Linked DNA regions of Daphnia pulex. The protein of the gene in region 1 purifies or fractionates together with the protein of each later gene. This does not show direct contact. Links are inferred from orthologs where the notes say so. Each region holds a gene or a part of one and is shown in the gene's direction. Other genes may lie near its edges. The genes, in order: transcriptional adapter 2-beta-like, ubiquitin carboxyl-terminal hydrolase 22-like, SAGA-associated factor 29-like, transcription initiation protein SPT3 homolog and transformation/transcription domain-associated protein-like.

Region 1 (4,133 bases):
AAATCCTAAATTAATAAAGTTTTACAAAAATTAGATTAAATAAGTAAATATTGGGTAATGTTTTCTACCTTTCGGTTTGAATTAAGCATCTCTTCAAATTCGTCGGGTGTCATTTTAGGTACCGAATGAACCATATCTAATAGAGAACGACCAAACGTGTTGTCAGCCGTTTTGGAGCCACTCATTACGTCGTCAACATAAGCCAAGATAGTGTCCAGCATGTTTTCCATCTGCTGCGAGGCTTCAACAATCTGAGTAAGATCCGAAGCGATGCCCGCTTGACGTTTAACCGAGGTTTTGGTTTTCTGGCAGGCATTTACTGAAAAACAATCAAAGATTAATTCCCAGTATACATACACATTTTCTATTATAATTACATCCAATAGTTTCTGGGTCATAGCATGCTATCTCAACAGAAACAGGAGCAAACATGCATCCCATAGTTTTGCCTGTGATACCCATTGGGACACTAGATGATAATTTAAAGATAATTATTTTTCAAAGCAATTGTATCATACTGAATTAATAGCATGTACCTGACATAAGCTTTGATTCCCATACGGGTATCTTGCAATGTGGTGTCCACTGTAATGTGAACAGGATTGGAGGACTCTCTGGAGTAGTACTCATGAATAAGAGCAGAGTGAGATGTGACTCCAGTACCAGTTGCCCACCAACCTACAATGCTTTCTTGGGGATTAACTTTACGATGCAAGTCATACATATCCTTGGCAAAGTCCAATTCCACAGCCACTTCTTCTTCTGATTCATTGTGAGGCACACAAAAGCAATTGGTCACTTCCACACCATTTTTATCTGATGTGCCTGGAAAAAATCAATATGAAAAATGAGTTATCACAACTTCGATTTCGCATATTATAGGAATTTAGGTATATAATCCAAAGATTTTGTCAGGTACTCGATACCGATACACGTGTCAACAGTCGAAAAAACAATAAAACGCGAAAGCAAACGGATGATCTAAATTGTATGTTACCAAGCAACGTTCCAATTACTCTCTGTGCATCAGGATTACGACGCTCATAAGAGTCAATAATCTGAAATAATACAACAGGATGCAACTTGACAGTCAGATTGAGAGCCATTTTGCGTGACTTTTTTTGCAGACCACTACCGCATTGGAGCTGAAAAAGCCGACACGAACTAGTTGCCAATTGGTGATATATAATACGTTGAATTATTTCTATTTACCAAACACGTCTCGTTATACATTAAAAAAAATTTAATTTAATAAAATGTACGGTGTACATTGTTTATAAATTTTACACGTCATTTTAATTATTTTTTAAAGACTTCTCACTTCTCAGTCACCAGAGGGCGCGACCAATGCTTTCGCTAGCGTTGGCATAGCTTAGTTGTTCTTGATGGGAAGGGAAGGCTAAAGATGGCGGGTAAAAAAAAATGCTCTCGTTGAATCCTTATTTTCGAAAATTGAAAATCTTTCTTTCTGTATCCATTCCTCAGATTTATTTATGAAGCATCGATGTGGCTACTGTCAGGACGACATCCTTGGCATTCGAATCCGATGTAACGTTTGTGTCGATTACGAACTTTGTTTACAGGTGTGGTATAAAATCTTCGTTGAATGAATCCCTCCCCTTCCTTCTTTGTTGTTTGTTATGACGCCCACCGGAGTGGTATTGCCGGTTGGTCGGCGGCGAATTTGAATTATTTTAATAACACAGTTTTGCAATGTTTCTTTCTAGTGTTTCTCTCTTGGCTGTGAAATTGGACCACATAAAAGTAGTCATGGATATAGATTAATAGTGAGTATTTAAGTTTTTCTATCAAACTCTCAATAAATACTTTATTTTTAATTTCTAGGATCCTGGTACTTTTAGTATTTTTCCTGACCAACAAAGGGAGGATGAAGGTGGCTGGATTGCAAGGGAAGACTATCAGTTACTTGATGCAATAGAACAGTTTGGTTATGGAAATTGGGAAGATGTTGCGAAACATGTAGAAACACGGGATTCAGAAAGTAATTGTTGATTTTTATCAGGATTTTATCATCAGTTACTCTCCAATTATGTTTTTTTTACAGAATGCAAAGAACAGTACTGTGATAGATTTGTCACAGGAACAATAGGTAAACTAACATGGCAAGGGCTTCCAAATGGACTTCTCGCAAGTGGAGAGTCTCGCTTGGCAGCAATTGATCACACTTGTCCAGATAATGCACCTCTATCTCCATCCATCACATCACGACTACCACCTTTAGCTATTCAACCTGAAGAAACATTAGAACTTGGATACATGCCTCAAAGAGATGATTTTGAAAGGGTGGGTCTTAATTTGTCATGAAACAAATTGTCTTAAAAACTTCAACATTATTTTTATTTTTTGTAGGAACATGACAATGAAGCTGAGGCAATTGTTTCTCATCTTGCCATTAATCATGACGACGAGGATATTGATTTGGCTCTAAAACTGGCTCAAGTCGATATGTATACTCGCCGCCTGAGGGAAAGAGCCCGAAGGAAGCGGGTTGCTCGGGATTTTCAACTGGTATCCCAATTTTTTAACGCTATCAAGAAAGAGAAGGAAAAACCTACGACTGCCGCAAAAAAAAGGGAGTCCCAAAAGGAAAAGTAATTCATGTTTCAATTAGTTAACTATAGATTCATTACAAACAGTTACATTTTTTTCCTTGTACAGAGAAACGCAAGAAAAATTTCGTTCGTTTTCCCAATTCCACACGGCACCTGAGCATGAGCAATTCTTACGCAATCTAACTAAAGAGAGAGCTTTGCGATTGCGGATTCGAGAACTAATCAAATACCGTAGGAATGGATTAACTCGACATGAGGAATGTACTGAATATGAACGACTGCGATACTTCCGTGAAAGAAAGAAAGAAGCCCGGTTGGAGCGCCAGCGCCGGAAATCCGTAAGCAATTTTCCCAGTCTGTACTATTGCTTGCATAGTTTCGTCAAGCGATAGTAAGAGTGTGCGACTGGTTTATTTACCTGTTAATACTTCGTTGAAATGAATCATTATTGGTGGTGTCCATTGGTTGAATATTCGATTTTATTTTTTTACTTATGTGTCTTTATTTTAAGTATCTTACAAGCTAGTTAAATTAGAACCCAAAAAAGACTGGAAATTGAACAATAGACTTTAACGTAGGGAAGCAGTGGACCGGGGCCGATTGTACAAAACCCTGGGACACTACACAAGTCAGAGTAAGCTTTATTATTTCCCCTTTTTTACATACTATGTGCAGTTTAACTCATCAGTTACCTGTGATAGCTTTGCATTATATTACGAAATCTCAACTATATTTCTTAGTTCTTAGAATTGTTAAGTAAATTCGTGGCTTATGTATGTAACTTGTTTTTTTTGTTTTTTTTTTTTTTTTCGCAGCAACGCAAGGGAAGAAGTGCTACTTTCAAGCTTTCGAGACGCAAAAGTCACCTCCTTCGGCAGCAACAACAACAGCAGCGTCCTCAGCGTTTCAAGCAGTCTGCCTCGACTCGGGCCCGTACTCTCCGCTAATACCCGACTTTCACAGTCAGAATGGCAGGAGGCAGTTGCTAATTTCCTCGCCAAGAGCGACGATCTCACTTTATGTCCCGGTTCAGAACTGCTCAGTCCTGCTGAAAAGCAAGTCAGTGAAACGATTATTATAATTATTATTTTTAAAGTTTTATCCAATAATTGTTTTCCTTTAAATCTCAGATTTGCCAAAATCTACGTTTGAGACCATTGTACTATACGTCATTGAAGGCCAATCTCATATTGGTAAGTCGAATCATTCACTCTCTTGATTTATTCACTTGAAATAAAATACAAATCTTTTTCTCAGAGTGGGACCGACAAGACTCCGCTCCTACCCGGCCTGGCTGCTGACGAGCAGTCTATGATTGTAAATTATTTTACGAAAGCCGGTTTTCTGTCTGTCGAGTGAAAACAGCAATTTTGTGTTGAAAAAATATGTGTCTTTTTTGAATAAAGTTCAACTGTTTTTTTTTAAACGAATTTCCAATATTCATTTCATTTTAGTTTTGATAGATTAGTTAAATTTTACGAATAATTTTGAGTATATTAATATAATTTGCATGATAAACCTTTTTTGTTTGATCAGATAAAAGATCACCTGATTTTTTCA
Region 2 (4,060 bases), on another chromosome or scaffold:
CACCAGCAGGTCTCGAGAGAAAAAAGGGAATTACCGTATACTTATATGGGCTGGTCATCAGCAGGGCGAAGCCATAGGGTTGTTGGATACGTTTGAAAGTATAGAAAAACATGTATATACTTAAATATTGGGAAGCGAGTTCTTCTCCAGCGGCCATTTAGACACATTTCCAGTTTCTTCTTCACGTCCTCGAGGGGCTTTGGGAGTCCTTTTTTTTTCTATTATCAGCTATAAAGTTAAGCTTCGAGAACCTAAAAGAAAAGAAAAATAAAATGAAAAAGAATCCATTTTGAAGGGCATTTCGACTATATAACACTGGCAGACATCCCCAAGTTCTTTTCTTCAAGATTTTGACTTTCAAGGCCACAAGATTATTCCACAACAGCATCATTATTCACGACACATCGTGTCCAATTGGATATCACATGGTTTTTTGGCCACCTCGAAAGCGTTATTATGAAAATTTCGCGTCAAGAATGACTTAACACGTGGGGAGAGATAACTATTTACACACACACACCAGCTGATTGACCATGTCGAATTTATTAACCTTGGATTGATCTTAATTCATTCAGACATGTGGCGATTGAAATGCATCGCCGACATAATCTAGTTTGATTGCCAAAATTGATTGCAAACCAGTTGCCACTTACTTATGGCAGAAATGTGATGTGTTGCACACGTCGTCGATCTCGGCCATTGTGGTCGAATATCGTCGATAAAGGAGACGGTGACGTTTGGTTATTTCACGGCTCGTTGCAATAGCTCAACTTTCGATTTTATTCCACTCCGTTTCACTTCATCCAAGGGCTTCATCATCCGTGTAAACATCACTTTCCAACATTGTTGTTTTTTTAATGCAAGAGTTTCACATTCCACGAGCATTTTGATTCTGGCAAAACGTCTTCTTCGAAATCCCGACCTCATTTTCACCCAGCCAAAACATTGCCAATTATCTTGAATTCGGAAGAAAAGGGGGAAACAAAAACACGTTTCGTTCCAATCTTTTGAAATCATTATATAAAATGAGGTTATCTCCTGGGGAATTGCTTCCTGCACCAAAAAAAAAGTTCACTAGTCCATGTATTATTTCCGAACAAAAGCTAGCGGTTACCACATTTCCGGCGGCCAGGATATAATTGATTTGTTGTCTGCGGTTTTCACACAAAAATCTCCCTCCATTTTTCCTCAAAAAAATCTTGTCTGCTCAACGTTGCACGAGGTTGTTATTTTGGACAGAAGATGGCGATGGCGCTTTACCATTTTAGCAGAATAAATTTTTTTTTTTGGCCTACAGAAAAGGAAAGAAGCTATGGCGTTTAGATAAATTGTTTCTTCTTGAGAAAGCCGTCGAGGTTGGGCTTGTAGAGGCCGAAATTTATTAATTTTCTATAAGGTCTCTATTAAAACGTGTGGAATTATAAAGCCGCCAACATTTTGCCCAAGTCTAATTCACCGTCGGTGGCCATGTCGGCTGCCCATGGCTGTCTCCACTTGAACAACTTCAAAGCGGCCAAGGGGACTAGGCCCTACCGGCTCATTCATTCCTTTTTTGTGGCATGCACATCTTCAGAAGCCCGTAAACGCAAGGTAAGAGTTCAAGTATTGTTTCTTTTAAATCACTCCTTTACTCATCATTTTTGTTGCTAGGCCAAATCGTGTGTGTGTCATGTCTGTCAGCGAAGAGGACCCAGGCTTCATGCCTGCCTTCACTGCATTTTCTTTGGCTGCTATGGTGCTGGTCACATACAGGCCCACTCTCAGCAGCGGAAACATTTCTTAGGTAATTCGACAACCAAAAATCAAATCTCATTGATACTAATGCAGCCTCCTTTTTTTTACAGCTGTAGATCTGACTTATGGAGTTGTGTGCTGCTTTCAGTGTGGGGATTACGTCTATGACCGAGAATTGGAAACTATTGCTCAAAAGCATCAAACCAAAGCTTCTCTCTCCTTGGGACTGGGTCAAGTCTATCATTCATGGGAACCTTCTGAGGAAGAAATTGAGCTCCTCAAAAAGCATACACGACGCAAGAAGATCACAGACTCTGCCACTATCGGTTCATTATTTAAAAAAATTCATTATCCAATCTTTTATCTTAACTCCATGTTTCATTCATGGCAGGACTCAGAGGTCTAGTGAATTTGGGCAACACCTGTTTCATGAACTGCATAGTACAGGCTCTCTTAAAAGTACCTCTTCTCAGAGATTTCTTCTTGTCGGATCGTCATATTTGTCAGTTCCAAGACGAACCGAGTCGCTGTCTGGTCTGCGAAATCTCTCGCCTATTCCAAGAGGTATGTCATCCAAAAAACAAGAATCCTCGTTTCCTGTGAGAAATCTATTTTCGGATTCATAACACTCCTACTAGACTTATCGCTTCTTTTTTAATCTTCTCTTTCGCAGTTCTATTCGGGGAACAAGGCTCCTCTGACATTGCACCGACTTCTTCACTTGATATGGACTCACGCTCGTCATTTAGCTGGATATGAACAGCAAGACGCCCACGAATTTTTCATAGCAACTTTGGATGTACTCCATCGACACTGCAGGTGAAATTATTCATTGGCTATAAAAGTCGTGAGAAACGTGACATTCTAAATATAAATGATTTTTAACAGAGGACCAAATGAGCAACAGTCGACTCAGCCTCAAGAGAACTCTGTCAATCGGTGCACATGTATCATAGATCAAATTTTCACTGGTGGTTTGCAGTCAGACGTCGTTTGTCAAGCTTGCCAGTAATAACTATTTCAAATGTTTGATGTCCTAAATTTGCTGGTCTTAACGGTTATTTTGTTTTTGTTCACTGCAGCGGTGTCTCTACAACAGTAGATCCTTTTTGGGATATTTCCCTGGACCTCGGTCCGTCACCCAGCACGAAAGTCGTCACCACTGGCAACGGCCCTGGATCGATTCCCACTTCCTTGCAGGACTGTTTGGAGCGATTCACCCGGGCAGAGCACTTGGGATCTTCGGCTAAGATCAAGTGTTCGCGATGTCTTAGCTACCAAGAATCCACAAAACAACTGACGATGAAGAAACTGCCAGTGGTTGCTAGTTTTCACCTAAAGGTGCGTATTGTTTTGTTTTTTTATTGACTTTGAACGTCATATTATGAACCACTCATCGTTATTTTTTTCTTTACTTTATGCAGCGCTTTGAACATTCCAATCGATTCCATAAGAAGATCTCGTCATTCATCGCCTTTCCAGAATACCTGGACATGAGTCCATTCATGTCCCACCGTCGAAACATCAATAACAACGTCAATTCGGATTCTCCGGACCGGGCTGATAGGCCCGTCCACAAGCCCCTTATTTCCACTGAAAACATGTAAACTTGTTGCTCGGTTTATTGAGAAAACGACCGAATGTGACTGTGACGGAATCCTCGTTGCTTCCTTCCTTCTCACCCCACCAGGTATTCTCTATTTGCTGTGATCAACCACGTCGGAACCATTGAAGCCGGTCACTACACGGCCTACATCCGGCAGCACCGAGACCATTGGTTCAAGTGCGATGACCATCTCATCACCAAAGCTGATATTCGCGACGTCCTCCAAAGTGAAGGGTATCAAATATTCCACAAAAACAAACTTAGTTTAAAATATTTTGCAATTTGCTTGGTTGTTCTTGGATATTAATTGGGTGATTTGGTTTTTCAGGTACCTACTCTTCTACCACAAGATGATATTGGAGTATGAATAGAAATGGAGAAGAAAAATGTTTGTAAAGGGCAGCTCAACCGAGTCAACTTTTTTTTTTTTGCATGCAACATCCATCCCTCCATTCACAAGACCTTTTTTTTGTTTGTTTTGTTTTTCCTTTTTTAATTTCCCTTTCTCACTTCCACTTCCAGACAGTTCATCGGCGGTTAATGACCGTAGAAAACGACCATTTTCATTTTTTCTTTTTTCACGATTCAATAAAATATGAAAAAAACACAAAATGGTTAGAACAAGGAATTGAAAGACGAAAAAAAAAGCGAGATTTCTCTGACATAAACCCTCCCATTGGTGTTTCTGCCCTTTGGATTCTTTTGATTGTAAATCCCAAG
Region 3 (3,171 bases), on another chromosome or scaffold:
GAAAGGGTTAATTTCTGTTTTATATTTAAAAAATACAATTCTATTGAGCAAATCTTTTCACAAAAGCTCTTAATTAGAAACATATAGTTGTTGTAAAATGTCATCTAAATCGAGAATTCAATGTCTGACCTGATTCCTGACAAAAATCACATGTGTAGCACACACTTTTAAAGTAGACTAAAATATAGGCAAATTCTAACCCACTCGAGTGTTCTAACAAGTTAAGTGCATGTCTGTGAAAGCTCTTGGCATAATTCAACTGGAAATTGAAACAATTTGCAAAACAAAACGTAATGAAGCTCAGGCTTTACTGCTCAACAGTTAATAGAAAAATTTAAATTACTTTTTGAAACAAAGTCACACAATTTTAATTCAGAAACAAAGTCTTGAATTAAAAAGTTAAGCAATAATTACTTTTTACTGTTCTGCATGGAACGAAACGTGCAACATTCAGCAAGAGACGACATTGTGGGAATGTACAGCAGGCCACATGCGATTACCAATTATGAATTGAAGACAATGTTACACGTTTTGAACCACACACAAAATTAAATTTTATAAAATTAAAGAATAAAAAATGGAATTACCATGTCTATGATCAACAATGTCACGTAAGAAAGTACCAGCAATGACTAAATTTTACCTTCTCGGACAGCGTCTCGACAGCAAAAGAAAGACTGTTCTGTCAGTCGTCTCAGGACTTTGACAGTTTGATGACCCATCCCCCTACACCCCTCTAGAAACAAACACACTAGAGCTGAATAGTTCAATCCCTAAACACGCTGAAATATTTAGCCACCTAGTGACAGCCCTGAGCATCCACGGACGACTAGAATGGGACGGAAAATAAACGAAATATTCGTCATCTCCGTGAAATACATTTAGTAGATAAAAAAAATTATCGAAAAATTAACAGGTGAGCTTTCTTGGTGGAATAGTTATCGTCAGTCATCACCAAAAAGTTACCACACAATGCCGATACATTTTTACAGGGATGTGCAAAATATTAAAATAACTGACTACAAAATAACTAAATAATTTGAGAGTTGAAAATGATCAAAGGCTATATAATAAAACCACTCGAAAAAAAGGCCTGATTTAGAAATTATTGCCATGGTTATACAATTTGAGCATGCTCATGCCATCTGCTAATGACGAATGGAACTAATACAGTTGATGCCATAGTTGCCATGGTGACGACAAAGCAACTGCCGATGTTACGATTTTCAATTTATTGTTTGGAAGGCTGATTTCCGATGACTGTTTTTAAACTCATCTTCATTAATTTAGTAAGGTTATTTTTCTGTGCATAAAAGATATGTAAATTTCAGAATTTAATTTTCTTTAGTTCTTGGTTTTCTTGGTGGCTTTTGCTTGGATTCCAGTCATCATTGCTGGTTTGAGCTCATCATTTAGGAGAGGTAGTTGTTATTAAACATATACATCATGGCTTTGTCATTAGATTCTGCCACACAGCAAGTCCAAGTAAGGTTGATATAATCAGTTGTTAAGGTATTTACTTAGTTCTAATTTGGATTGGGGTGCAGGAACGATTGAAGGGGATCTACAAGTTGGTCAAGCAGATTCAAGAAGAGAAAGTTCGTAATGAAGGTAACTTAAATGCTGTTATCAAAGCTCATGAAAAACTTCAGTCAGATGACAAAATTTCTCCATATCACAAGGTATTTCTATTCCCATATCACTAATTAATCAGCACTAATGAATGCCTATAAAATTATCAGTCTAAATTAAAAGGACTGTATTGCTCTGTGGTGGCTGATGCTGAAAAAGAAGAGGACCTTATTCGTAAGGCATTAAGCAAAATCTATGAAATTCGCGTTATCAGACATGAAAGGAGAATTCAGGTTATTCCCAAGAACGTAAACTTAGAAAATTTCACCTAACATTGTACTAACATTCTTGTTCAGGCAAAACAAGCTGGCAGTAAGGAAACTATAAGAAGAGGTGCTCTCATGAAAATGCTTCTCGTTACTGCTCAAACTCTCCCGCTGTGGATCAGTAAGTCAGGACAACAGCCACCAGCATTATGTGGAGCAGTTCCAGCTGACCCAACTTACGTTGCCAAAGTATTACATTATTCGAATGTCATAAACTGTTAATTGACTAACCGAAACACCTTATATGTATGTCAGCTGGGAGATATTGTTGCGGCTTTGGTAAAGAGTACAGACGGCGATGAGAATTGGATTTTGGCAGAAGTCGTTCAATATTTAGCTTCTTCTGGGCGCTATGAAGTGGATGATATTGACGAGGAACAGAAAGAGCGACACACTTTAAGCAAACGCAGAGTAATTCCTCTTCCTTTGATGCGAGCTAATCCTGAAACCGATCCCGATGCTTTGTTCTCAAAAGGAGCCACTGGTAAAAACAAAACAAAAAAATCGCAAATTTTAGCTGATCCGACGTTAGCATATTATTAACATACTAAACATTTGTTTTTAGTCATGGCTTTGTATCCACAAACGACCTGTTTTTACAAAGCGGTAATCAATCAATTACCCCAAACAGCTCAAGATGAATACCAAGTTCTTTTTGAAGATTCTAGCTATACTGAAGGATTCAGTCCGCCTTTGATGGTGGCGCAACGATATGTCATAGCTATCAAAGAGAAAAAGAAATGATTTCAAATACATTTGACCCTTTTTTCTATTCTCTCTTCTGTACAGCAGGATTTGTGTTTTTCACTACTTCTTCCAACCACGTATGAAACATGAAATAGAATCTAAATGGGGGAGTTTTTGAATCCGTAGTCGGCGTAGTCAGAAGGCTTCATTTTATCGGAAACTTTAGGGAAGTTCGGATCTCCTGGGTAAACTGCGGGTCTGGAGCCGAAAATTGCAAATCCTTTCTTGCGAGTCCAGTCCTAAAAGTTAAAATGTAGTATTTTGGGTGCTGTCCACTATTAGAGGCAAATACTTACATGAGAGTTGTACTTCAGATTGTAGGTAATTCCCAAAACCAGCCATCCAGCAAGAAGATATTTACCAACCCAATAGCGAGTAATCTGAGTTTTGTCGCCCTATGAATAAGAAAAAGAATTAGAACACAGATTTTATGAATTATGTAGTAGTCTCACAACCACAAAATGGACAGTTAATTAATTTTTAAAAGTAAAGTGTTTTAGTTCACATTACATCTGCTCGAACTAAA
Region 4 (3,466 bases), on another chromosome or scaffold:
CGTCTGATCTGACTTGGAAGAAAGTTCCACAAATGGAAGGGATGATGGACGAATTGGAGCGTACTTTAGTGGCTGACCAGCGATTCCAAAAAGCATGTAGTATCGTGCTAGACCTTAGATAAAGAATATATATCATATCCAAATAAGCAGGTCTCCGAAATGTGCAGCCTTACTAAAGATACTTTCCAAATGAGCCACTGTTGAAGCAGTAAATCTAACAAATGTATTCTCTAATCCATAGAAACAAAGACTAAGAACCTAGTAAAATAAATGAATGTGGTTAAGAAATTTCTTCATGACATTATAAGAAACACTGTTTTACCTTGAGAAGGTTAAGATTGTTTGGATCGGAATTTAGGTGTTGCTCTTGGAATTTTATGAACTGGATGATACATGTGTTAATTACATCCTTTGATATTGTAGACCAATCCTTTTCTCCCGAACAGTTGGTAAAATTGCAGAGAATTTTCAGAATGAGAACTGTTTGATTATTGATTTGTTGTTCTTCATTCAATTTATTGATCAAGAATCCAGAAGGACTAAGCACTTTCTCCAAAGCCTAATTTAGTAATTTCAATGGGAAACATTATTGTTCAAAATTTTTCATTCATTCCCAGTTTCAGACCTACTTTAGTTTGTTTAACTTCTTTGAAGTTGACTGCCACAGCAAGACAATTGAAAATGTCAGTAAATATTAAATGATTTTCATTCTTAAGGGATTTTATAATCCAATCAATTAATTGCTCTGATGCTTGACTTGTTAAGTGTACATTTGGAAGTTGTAAAACTTGTTCCCATATTTGACAAGTCTTGGCAACTTTAAAAGATTCTTCATGTTTCACAATTTTTAAAACATCTGATACTAAAATTACAGAATCCTATAAACATAAGATTTTAAACAGTGAAATGAATATAACTTTTATGGAATCTTACTTGAACATTGACTGACGACGATTCCAATTCTTTCCTTTTAAGATCGAAGAAAAGGGTGTTCAGATTATCCAAGAAATTTGTTATTTCTTCCGGATTTGCATTTTTCTTATCTAACAATAGGTTGAGCTTTTCTCGAACCCCTGTCAGATAATTTGTGTCTAATGATTTAAGTTGAGAAAGAGCCATGACTCTATCTCGATTGTCACACTTTGTTTACAAATTGAAGGTCCTTGATTTTTTCGACATTTTCGTCTGCTATGTGTCGACGAAGTACCGAAGGCATCCGCTTGGTTTTTTTTTTTCTTAATTGAAAAATGTTTAAGATTAATGAAAGCGTGGTTCATTCAAAAGTTCATAAAAAATAAAGATTTTTTTTTCCTTACTAAATTTTGGGAAAAAAATTGAAATAGTTTCAAAATTAGCTTTGGCATTGAGGCAAATTCAAATATGTCTAGCTAGGCTAGCAGACTACCACACAATACCTTCTTTTAGGGTTCAGTTCAGACTTCAAACAATAACAAATGGAGTTTTAGAAAACACCGGTTGATATTACTATTTGGTACACGAATTATACCAACACAACTGATATTTTGTAAAAATTAGCAAAATTCTCAATCTCCTAAAAATGCCAGCTGCTGATGTATCCACTAATTCTTCCACCGATGGATGGTACATCTTGGGTAAGTTCATATTAACGACCAACAATGTCAACATTTCCTAACTACATTTAATTCGACATGTTTAGAAATCCAAAAAATGATGTATGGATTTGGCGACAGCAAATATTCGCTGAAAGAAACTGCTGAATTAGTAGAGAAAATTGTGAAGGAACAACTAATTCAGTTCCTGAATGCACTGTCTGAGGTTGCTGTTAAAATTAACTCAAAGAAAATTGGTATCAAAGAATTTCTAGTCTTACTTAGGTAGGTAACCTTCAGTTTAACAATATCTCAAGTTATTCAATATATTGAAGTGATTTCTGTTAAATTAGGCACAGTCCAGTTAAACTGAGAAGATTTTGCACCTATTTACAAGCCAGTGGGTTTAAGGATTTGGCAAAAGAAGATGATTTGCCTAAAGACATAATGACTGAATTTTCTGATCTTCACACTGGAAATAAAAAACTGAATTCTGCTCTTGCATTCCTACAACACCTTGATCCATCATGTTATCTGTGTAATGTGGCAGATCCATCTAAACCTTTCCTGTTACCTGATGATGCCCTCAAGGAACGAAATGAAAGGATTGAGAGAATGACATTAGCCATGGAGAAGGGGCAGTACATTGAATATTCTCAAGTATTTTGATTCAACCTAACTGCTTTTTCAAAATCTAGATTTAACAGAATTGTTTTTGTCAGGCCAAATCTACCTCATTTAAGAGAGGCCAGCCTTCTGGTAAATTTCAAGATTGGTTACTTAAAGATTCTCCAGCTCCTGAGGTTGCTTTAAGTGCGACAGCTTGGTCTATTCTCAGTTACTTTGCTTACGAAACCATCGCACAAATAGTAGATCTGGCCTTCATAGTACGAAGAGACAATATGGCTGGGCAAGTGAGTGACGCAGTTCAACGTAACACTGCACCAAGAGTATCTCCAGCGAATGCTGATTTGTTCAAGGTAAAAGGATTAAAATGAATGTTACAATAATTATAATCATTCTTTAAAACAAAATTTCCGTATTTTTAGCCGACATGGTCAAATTCGATGAAACCTCTTCAAACAGCGGAAGTCTCTGAGGCCATCAGACGGTTCAACAATACACACAACTCAATTTTTTCTCCATTCCGAAGAAATGGTGTTCCTCCTCCTGGACATCGACTTCTGGCACTGTAATTTAAACGTACTGCAAGGGCTTCAAATTCAATATGGCGAAAGCTGCGTCGTAAATTGTTAATATCACTTTCAACATCCAAATTCGTGCGTGCATTGTTGGATGCGATCGGTTGTGTTCATCCTAAAAATAGGAAACTTTAATGTAAAATTGTATGCAAGAAACCTGAATAAAGAATACTCACACATAGGGTGCGAACTGAACTGTAGTAATGGGAATAATCCTGCGATAAAAATAGCAAAAATCGCCATAACTCTGAAGTTATCTTTGCGATGCGAGTGAGTGAAAATTTGTTCAGCATAGGAACAAATCCAGCAATATATTTGGAGGTGATTTCAATTTCTGCTTTATGCTTCAGCAACTTAAAATTGGTCGTATCCAAACTTGGCAGTGGAGGGTAAAGTGAGCAATCCACTCCATCAGAAAATTTTTGAAGTATACAGGCAACCCTACTTCTGTTGTACAAAACCTTTATTGCTTCTAAAATAGAAATGAAAAATTCAATAATTAGTTATTAAAAAGGAACCATGATTTTGGTAAACTGAATACCTCTGAATTGAGGATCAATTTCTAGTCCAGCTAGTCCTACCGCATGCATTGGTTTTGTGGTGTCATTGTGCAAGAAATCATAACTGATAACAGCCTCTGTGATCCATGCTTCAGACATACTTTTACCTTCCGTTGGATGCCTGGATTTAACA
Region 5 (4,208 bases), on another chromosome or scaffold:
CCTTGCTGTGGGAGTTGTTCGTTCAAGGTGGTCCTGTAGTAAATGTGCATATGCCTAAAGATCGGATTACTTTACTGCATCAAGGATACGGATTCATAGAATTCCTCAGTGAAGATGATGCTGACTACGCATGTAAAATTATGAACATGATAAAGCTGTATGGTAAACCCATTCGGGTAAACAAAGCATCAGCACACCAGAAAAACTTAGATGTTGGAGCAAATATTTTCATTGGAAACTTAGATCCTGAAGTTGATGAAAAACTTTTGGTAACCAATCAGCATTCCTTTAGGTTCAAAACACAATTTAATCTATTATTGCTTTTTTAGTATGACACATTTTCAGCATTTGGCGTAATTCTTCAGACACCAAAGGTAAATTTGAAATCATTGTTGGGGTTTTAAATTTTACTATTTTGTTTTTTTGAATGCAGATCATGAGGGATCCTACAACAGGGAATTCAAAAGGCTTTGCATTCATCAACTTTGCCAGTTTTGATGCATCTGATGCTGCCATTGAAGCCATGAATGGCCAATATTTATGTAATAGGCCAATTACTATATCATATGCCTTCAAGAAGGATTCTAAGGGTGAACGCCATGGATCAGCAGCAGAAAGGCTTCTGGCAGCACAAAATCCTCTTGCTCAGACAGATCGGCCTCATCAACTTTTTGCCGATGCCCCTCCTATTCCTCCGCAAATGAGCAACATGGGAATGTCAGGATTGCCTCCACCTCCCCCACCTCCGTTGCAAGGACTTACAATGGCGATGCCTCCACCTCCTCCTCCACCACCCACCTGGGCTCCTCCACCTCCACCACCTCCATCTTCGAATTTTCTTCCGTAAATATAATAGTGATTAGATTCATATGAATATTTACTATATAGAATCAACATTCATATTTTAGGTTAGCTCCGATTCCGCCGCCCCCGCCTTCCTGGGCGCCGCCGCCGCCACCACCATCAACTGGATTTGTTCCAATTCCACCTCCCGTTTGATTTCGTTTATTCATTTCATGTATGTCTGAAATACAAAATAAAGTAATAAACACATTTCTTTGACTTTGCGACTGTTTTGGGATCTGCTTCGAGATAGTTACGCTTATGTTGAATCCATTAAATCGTAAATTAAAAACATCAGACTAATTTTTTTACGAATATTTTATTCGATCAATTAGCTCTGTTATGCAGTAAAGAATTAGTTCCTTTCTGTTTTGTAAAGTGTAACTAAATGTACGCTAACAAAATTACAAACTGACTCTTGAATTGCTTTTACTCACAGATGGCTCCATTTTCTGTCCATTTCCGTATTTTTATTTCACCCAACAGATGGTGCTACATGACTCGTTTGTTCTCGATGAGTGAATGATTTTCATGTGTTGCGGCCTGTTTTTCATTTCAGCAATAAGCATGATTCTTTAGTCAACTTTTAAGTTTTAAATAGTAAATGAAGCAGTCTGGCTCTGTGGTGAAGCGTACAGGCGTTTATTCTGAATTTTATTCAATCCGTTCATAAATCTGCTTAATGATGTTAGCTGTTTTCTAGCTTGTCATTATCTATAATACCTTCTTTAAACAATGTCAATCTTGAGTAGCCTATATAAATTGTTTTTGAACCCTACCTGAGACGCTACATTTGAATTGACGTTACCACACGACTTCGTCAACTACAGGTGAGGAGTCTGAGCTTTTTCATTTTTTTTTGAACAATTTTTCAATGTTGTTCATTCATTTAGATAAAATGGGGCCTTCTAATGCGGTACCTGGGTTGGATGTTGTGGCCCAAATGAATACTTTTACCTCTTTTGTTTCAATGCTCTCCGATCCTGGGGCAAAGGATGAGAACAAACTAAAAGCAGCCCAAGAGCTAAGTGAAAATTTGGAAGTCATTGTCAGTTCCCCACAGTATCCAGCATTCTTGGATCATGCTATGAAAAATTTTCTCAAGATACTGCAAGACAGTGAACCACTCTTCATTGCAGAGTACAACATTCAGCAAGTCCGAAAATTGATTTTGGAAATGTTTCATCGTCTTCCCACCAATGAACACTTAAGGCCATATGTGAAACAATCACTTAACCTCATGTTCAGATTACTTGAGAGAGAAAATGAAGATAATGTGCTGATATGTCTTCGAATCATAATTGAACTTCACAAACAGTACCGTCCCCAATATAGTGTGGAGATCCAAACTTTTCTACAATTTGTCAAAGGCATCTACCGTGACCTACCGAATCAACTAAACAAGATATTTGAACCAAGGAGCCCCATCAAAGTTAAAGATTTAAGTGAATTAAACATTGAAGCAGTACTTGCTGAAACATTTACTGCCACTGTTGTTCTCACAGAAACACGAACTCCTGATGGAAACAACATATCATATAATTTGATACCAAAAGGAGTGTTGTCGTTGAAAGTTTTGCAGGAACTCCCAATAATTGTGGTCCTAATGTATCAACTTTACAAGCATAATGTTCATCAAGATGTAGCAGAGTTTATACCTCTCATCATGACTACAATTACCCTTCAGCCATCAGCCCAGCACAAGGCAAATCCTGCATTTAACAAAGAAATTTTTGTAGACTTCATTGGAGCCCAAATCAAAACGCTATCTTTCCTGGCCTACATCATTCGCATTTATCAAGAAGCTGTTGCTCAACAAGCTACTCTAATGGTTAAGGGTATACTGGGACTCTTAAGTCTGTGCCCCATGGAAGTTGCTCATTTGAGGAAAGAATTGCTGATAGCATCAAGGCACATCCTGGCAACTGACCTCCGTCTTCATTTCATTCCATTCATGGAGCGCTTATTTGACGAAAATTTACTGTTTGGCAAAGGTTGGACAACTAATGAATCTTTAAGACCTTTAGCCTATAGTACGTTAGCTGACCTCGTTCATCATGTTCGACAACACCTTCCAATGCTTGACCTTGCTCGTGCAGTTCATCTATTCTCAAAAAACGTTCATGACGAATCGCTTCCAACAAGCATTCAGACTATGTCTTGCAAGTTATTGCTGAATTTGGTGGAGTGCATACGACAACGTTCAGATGTTGAAAATGGACCTGGAAGAGAGTTGCTGATAGAAATGCTTGAAGTTTTTGTTTTAAAATTCAAAAGCATCGTGAAATTACAGTTGCCTATTTTAGCTGGGACAAAGAACAAGCAAGACAACAGTGGAACAAATGCAACCCCTAGTACTGAGCCTCCTTCTTCTCCTTCGTTAAGTTGGTCACAGAATGGAGCTGCACCACCGTCATCTTCACCGTCATCTGCGAATGAAACGAAACCGGAAGATACTCGGTCATCTTTAGTTCTTCTAGATGAAAAAGAGAAAACGATGAAGTTTGCTGTTCGAGTTGCGGGACCTGTCTTCAGCATCACTGAATGTCGAAGCTTAGTTAAAACGCTTGTGTGCGGTGTGAAAACCATCACCTGGGGATGTGCGGCCTGCAAAACTCCACTCGATACTACGACTAGTGTTGCTACTACAGGCAAGAATTTGCAACCTAAAGAAACGGTGATATTCATCCGTTTGGTGCAGTGGGCGATGAAAGCACTTGATGTGTACGCCTTAAATATTCCGAGTGCGGTCGGAGCGGAGACCTCTGGCAGTCTTAATAGCACCGTCGTTGGCTTTCCGGTCGGTGGGGCTTCCGCTGCTCGGCCGACTGTTCCAGCACAAACTATTCGCTCTAAAGAAGAAAAAGAAGTATTGGAACATTTTGCTGGTGTTTTCGCCATGATGAATCCGCAGACTTTCAAGGAAGTATTTGCCACAACAATTGACTACGTGGTAGAGCGCATTTACCGCAATAGCGCTTTGCAGGTAGTTGCAAATTCATTTCTTGCAAACCCTTCCACCTCCGCTGTTTTCGCCACCATCCTCGTCGAATATTTGCTGAATCACATGGAAGAAATGGGATTGAACATGGAGCGTTCTAATCTTTATTTGAAGTTGTTCAAACTTGTGTTTGGTAGCGTTTCTTTGTTTGCTGCGGAGAATGAACAAATGTTAAAGCCACATCTACCGCACATTGTCAACAAATCTATGGAATTAGCTTTGAGTGCTAAAGAGCCCTACAACTATTTCCTCCTGCTGCGGGCACTTTTTCGATCCATCGGCGGAGGTAGTCATGACCTCCTTTATCAAGAATTTTTGCCATTGCTTCCGAATCTTCTTCAAAGTCTAAACAGTCTTCAAAGTG

The links.
Region 2: the proteins of transcriptional adapter 2-beta-like (region 1) and ubiquitin carboxyl-terminal hydrolase 22-like purify together in Drosophila melanogaster (affinity purification with mass spectrometry; 3 studies listed by BioGRID, with this or other methods). This does not show direct contact. The link is inferred for Daphnia pulex from reciprocal best matches to the Drosophila melanogaster genes Ada2b and not.
Region 3: the proteins of transcriptional adapter 2-beta-like (region 1) and SAGA-associated factor 29-like purify together in Drosophila melanogaster (affinity purification with mass spectrometry; 4 studies listed by BioGRID, with this or other methods). This does not show direct contact. The link is inferred for Daphnia pulex from reciprocal best matches to the Drosophila melanogaster genes Ada2b and Sgf29.
Region 4: the proteins of transcriptional adapter 2-beta-like (region 1) and transcription initiation protein SPT3 homolog purify together in Drosophila melanogaster (affinity purification with mass spectrometry; 7 studies listed by BioGRID, with this or other methods). This does not show direct contact. The link is inferred for Daphnia pulex from reciprocal best matches to the Drosophila melanogaster genes Ada2b and Spt3.
Region 5: the proteins of transcriptional adapter 2-beta-like (region 1) and transformation/transcription domain-associated protein-like purify together in Drosophila melanogaster (affinity purification with western blotting; 4 studies listed by BioGRID, with this or other methods). This does not show direct contact. The link is inferred for Daphnia pulex from reciprocal best matches to the Drosophila melanogaster genes Ada2b and Nipped-A.

Annotation. Positions count from the first base shown.
Region 1 is NC_060026.1:11,480,931-11,485,063, forward strand, and holds transcriptional adapter 2-beta-like, read left to right. Parts: upstream 1-1,331; 5' UTR 1,332-1,405; coding exon 1,406-1,412; intron 1,413-1,485; coding exon 1,486-1,583; intron 1,584-1,727; coding exon 1,728-1,787; intron 1,788-1,845; coding exon 1,846-2,002; intron 2,003-2,065; coding exon 2,066-2,304; intron 2,305-2,370; coding exon 2,371-2,612; intron 2,613-2,679; coding exon 2,680-2,911; intron 2,912-3,151; coding exon 3,152-3,207; intron 3,208-3,388; coding exon 3,389-3,632; intron 3,633-3,703; coding exon 3,704-3,766; intron 3,767-3,830; coding exon 3,831-3,932; 3' UTR 3,933-3,994; downstream 3,995-4,133. Other genes in the region: eukaryotic translation initiation factor 3 subunit F-like, read right to left, coding at 1-5, 69-319, 378-469, 537-825, 998-1,106. UniProt on the Drosophila melanogaster protein: Component of several Gcn5-containing histone acetyltransferase complexes that regulate nucleosome organization; involved in acetylation of histone H3, particularly on Lys-10 (H3K9ac) and Lys-15 (H3K14ac).
Region 2 is NC_060023.1:10,811,921-10,815,980, forward strand, and holds the start of ubiquitin carboxyl-terminal hydrolase 22-like, read left to right. Parts: upstream 1-1,252; 5' UTR 1,253-1,467; coding exon 1,468-1,590; intron 1,591-1,650; coding exon 1,651-1,783; intron 1,784-1,844; coding exon 1,845-2,060; intron 2,061-2,125; coding exon 2,126-2,298; intron 2,299-2,407; coding exon 2,408-2,553; intron 2,554-2,622; coding exon 2,623-2,742; intron 2,743-2,816; coding exon 2,817-3,075; intron 3,076-3,158; coding exon 3,159-3,337; intron 3,338-3,424; coding exon 3,425-3,574; intron 3,575-3,668; coding exon 3,669-3,711; 3' UTR 3,712-4,060. UniProt on the Drosophila melanogaster protein: Histone deubiquitinating component of the transcription regulatory histone acetylation (HAT) complex SAGA. Catalyzes the deubiquitination of histone H2B, thereby acting as a coactivator in a large subset of genes.
Region 3 is NC_060019.1:9,072,654-9,075,824, forward strand, and holds SAGA-associated factor 29-like, read left to right. Parts: upstream 1-1,169; 5' UTR 1,170-1,289; intron 1,290-1,348; 5' UTR 1,349-1,446; coding exon 1,447-1,485; intron 1,486-1,547; coding exon 1,548-1,682; intron 1,683-1,742; coding exon 1,743-1,865; intron 1,866-1,928; coding exon 1,929-2,087; intron 2,088-2,153; coding exon 2,154-2,382; intron 2,383-2,463; coding exon 2,464-2,642; 3' UTR 2,643-2,670; downstream 2,671-3,171. Other genes in the region: uncharacterized protein LOC124191408, read right to left, coding at 2,744-2,884, 2,942-3,040. UniProt on the Drosophila melanogaster protein: Component of both the SAGA and CHAT histone acetyltransferase complexes, which both predominantly acetylate histone H3.
Region 4 is NC_060027.1:750,346-753,811, reverse strand, and holds transcription initiation protein SPT3 homolog, read left to right. Parts: upstream 1-1,394; 5' UTR 1,395-1,558; coding exon 1,559-1,613; intron 1,614-1,678; coding exon 1,679-1,856; intron 1,857-1,924; coding exon 1,925-2,231; intron 2,232-2,293; coding exon 2,294-2,551; intron 2,552-2,590; exon of another isoform or gene 2,591-2,620; coding exon 2,621-2,767; 3' UTR 2,768-2,768; coding exon of another isoform or gene 2,769-2,888; 3' UTR 2,889-2,949; downstream 2,950-3,466. Other genes in the region: HEAT repeat-containing protein 6-like, read right to left, coding at 1-113, 174-258, 323-559, 630-878, 934-1,119; DALR anticodon-binding domain-containing protein 3-like, read right to left, coding at 2,769-2,888, 2,950-3,245, 3,315-3,466. UniProt on the Drosophila melanogaster protein: Component of the transcription regulatory complex SAGA, a multiprotein complex that activates transcription by remodeling chromatin and mediating histone acetylation and deubiquitination. The SAGA complex predominantly acetylates histone H3.
Region 5 is NC_060018.1:6,526,831-6,531,038, reverse strand, and holds the start of transformation/transcription domain-associated protein-like, read left to right. Parts: upstream 1-1,408; 5' UTR 1,409-1,673; intron 1,674-1,736; 5' UTR 1,737-1,741; coding exon 1,742-4,208. Other genes in the region: splicing factor 3B subunit 4-like, read left to right, coding at 1-269, 330-374, 434-843, 909-999. UniProt on the Drosophila melanogaster protein: Part of the Tip60 chromatin-remodeling complex which is involved in DNA repair. Upon induction of DNA double-strand breaks, this complex acetylates phosphorylated H2AV in nucleosomes and exchanges it with unmodified H2AV.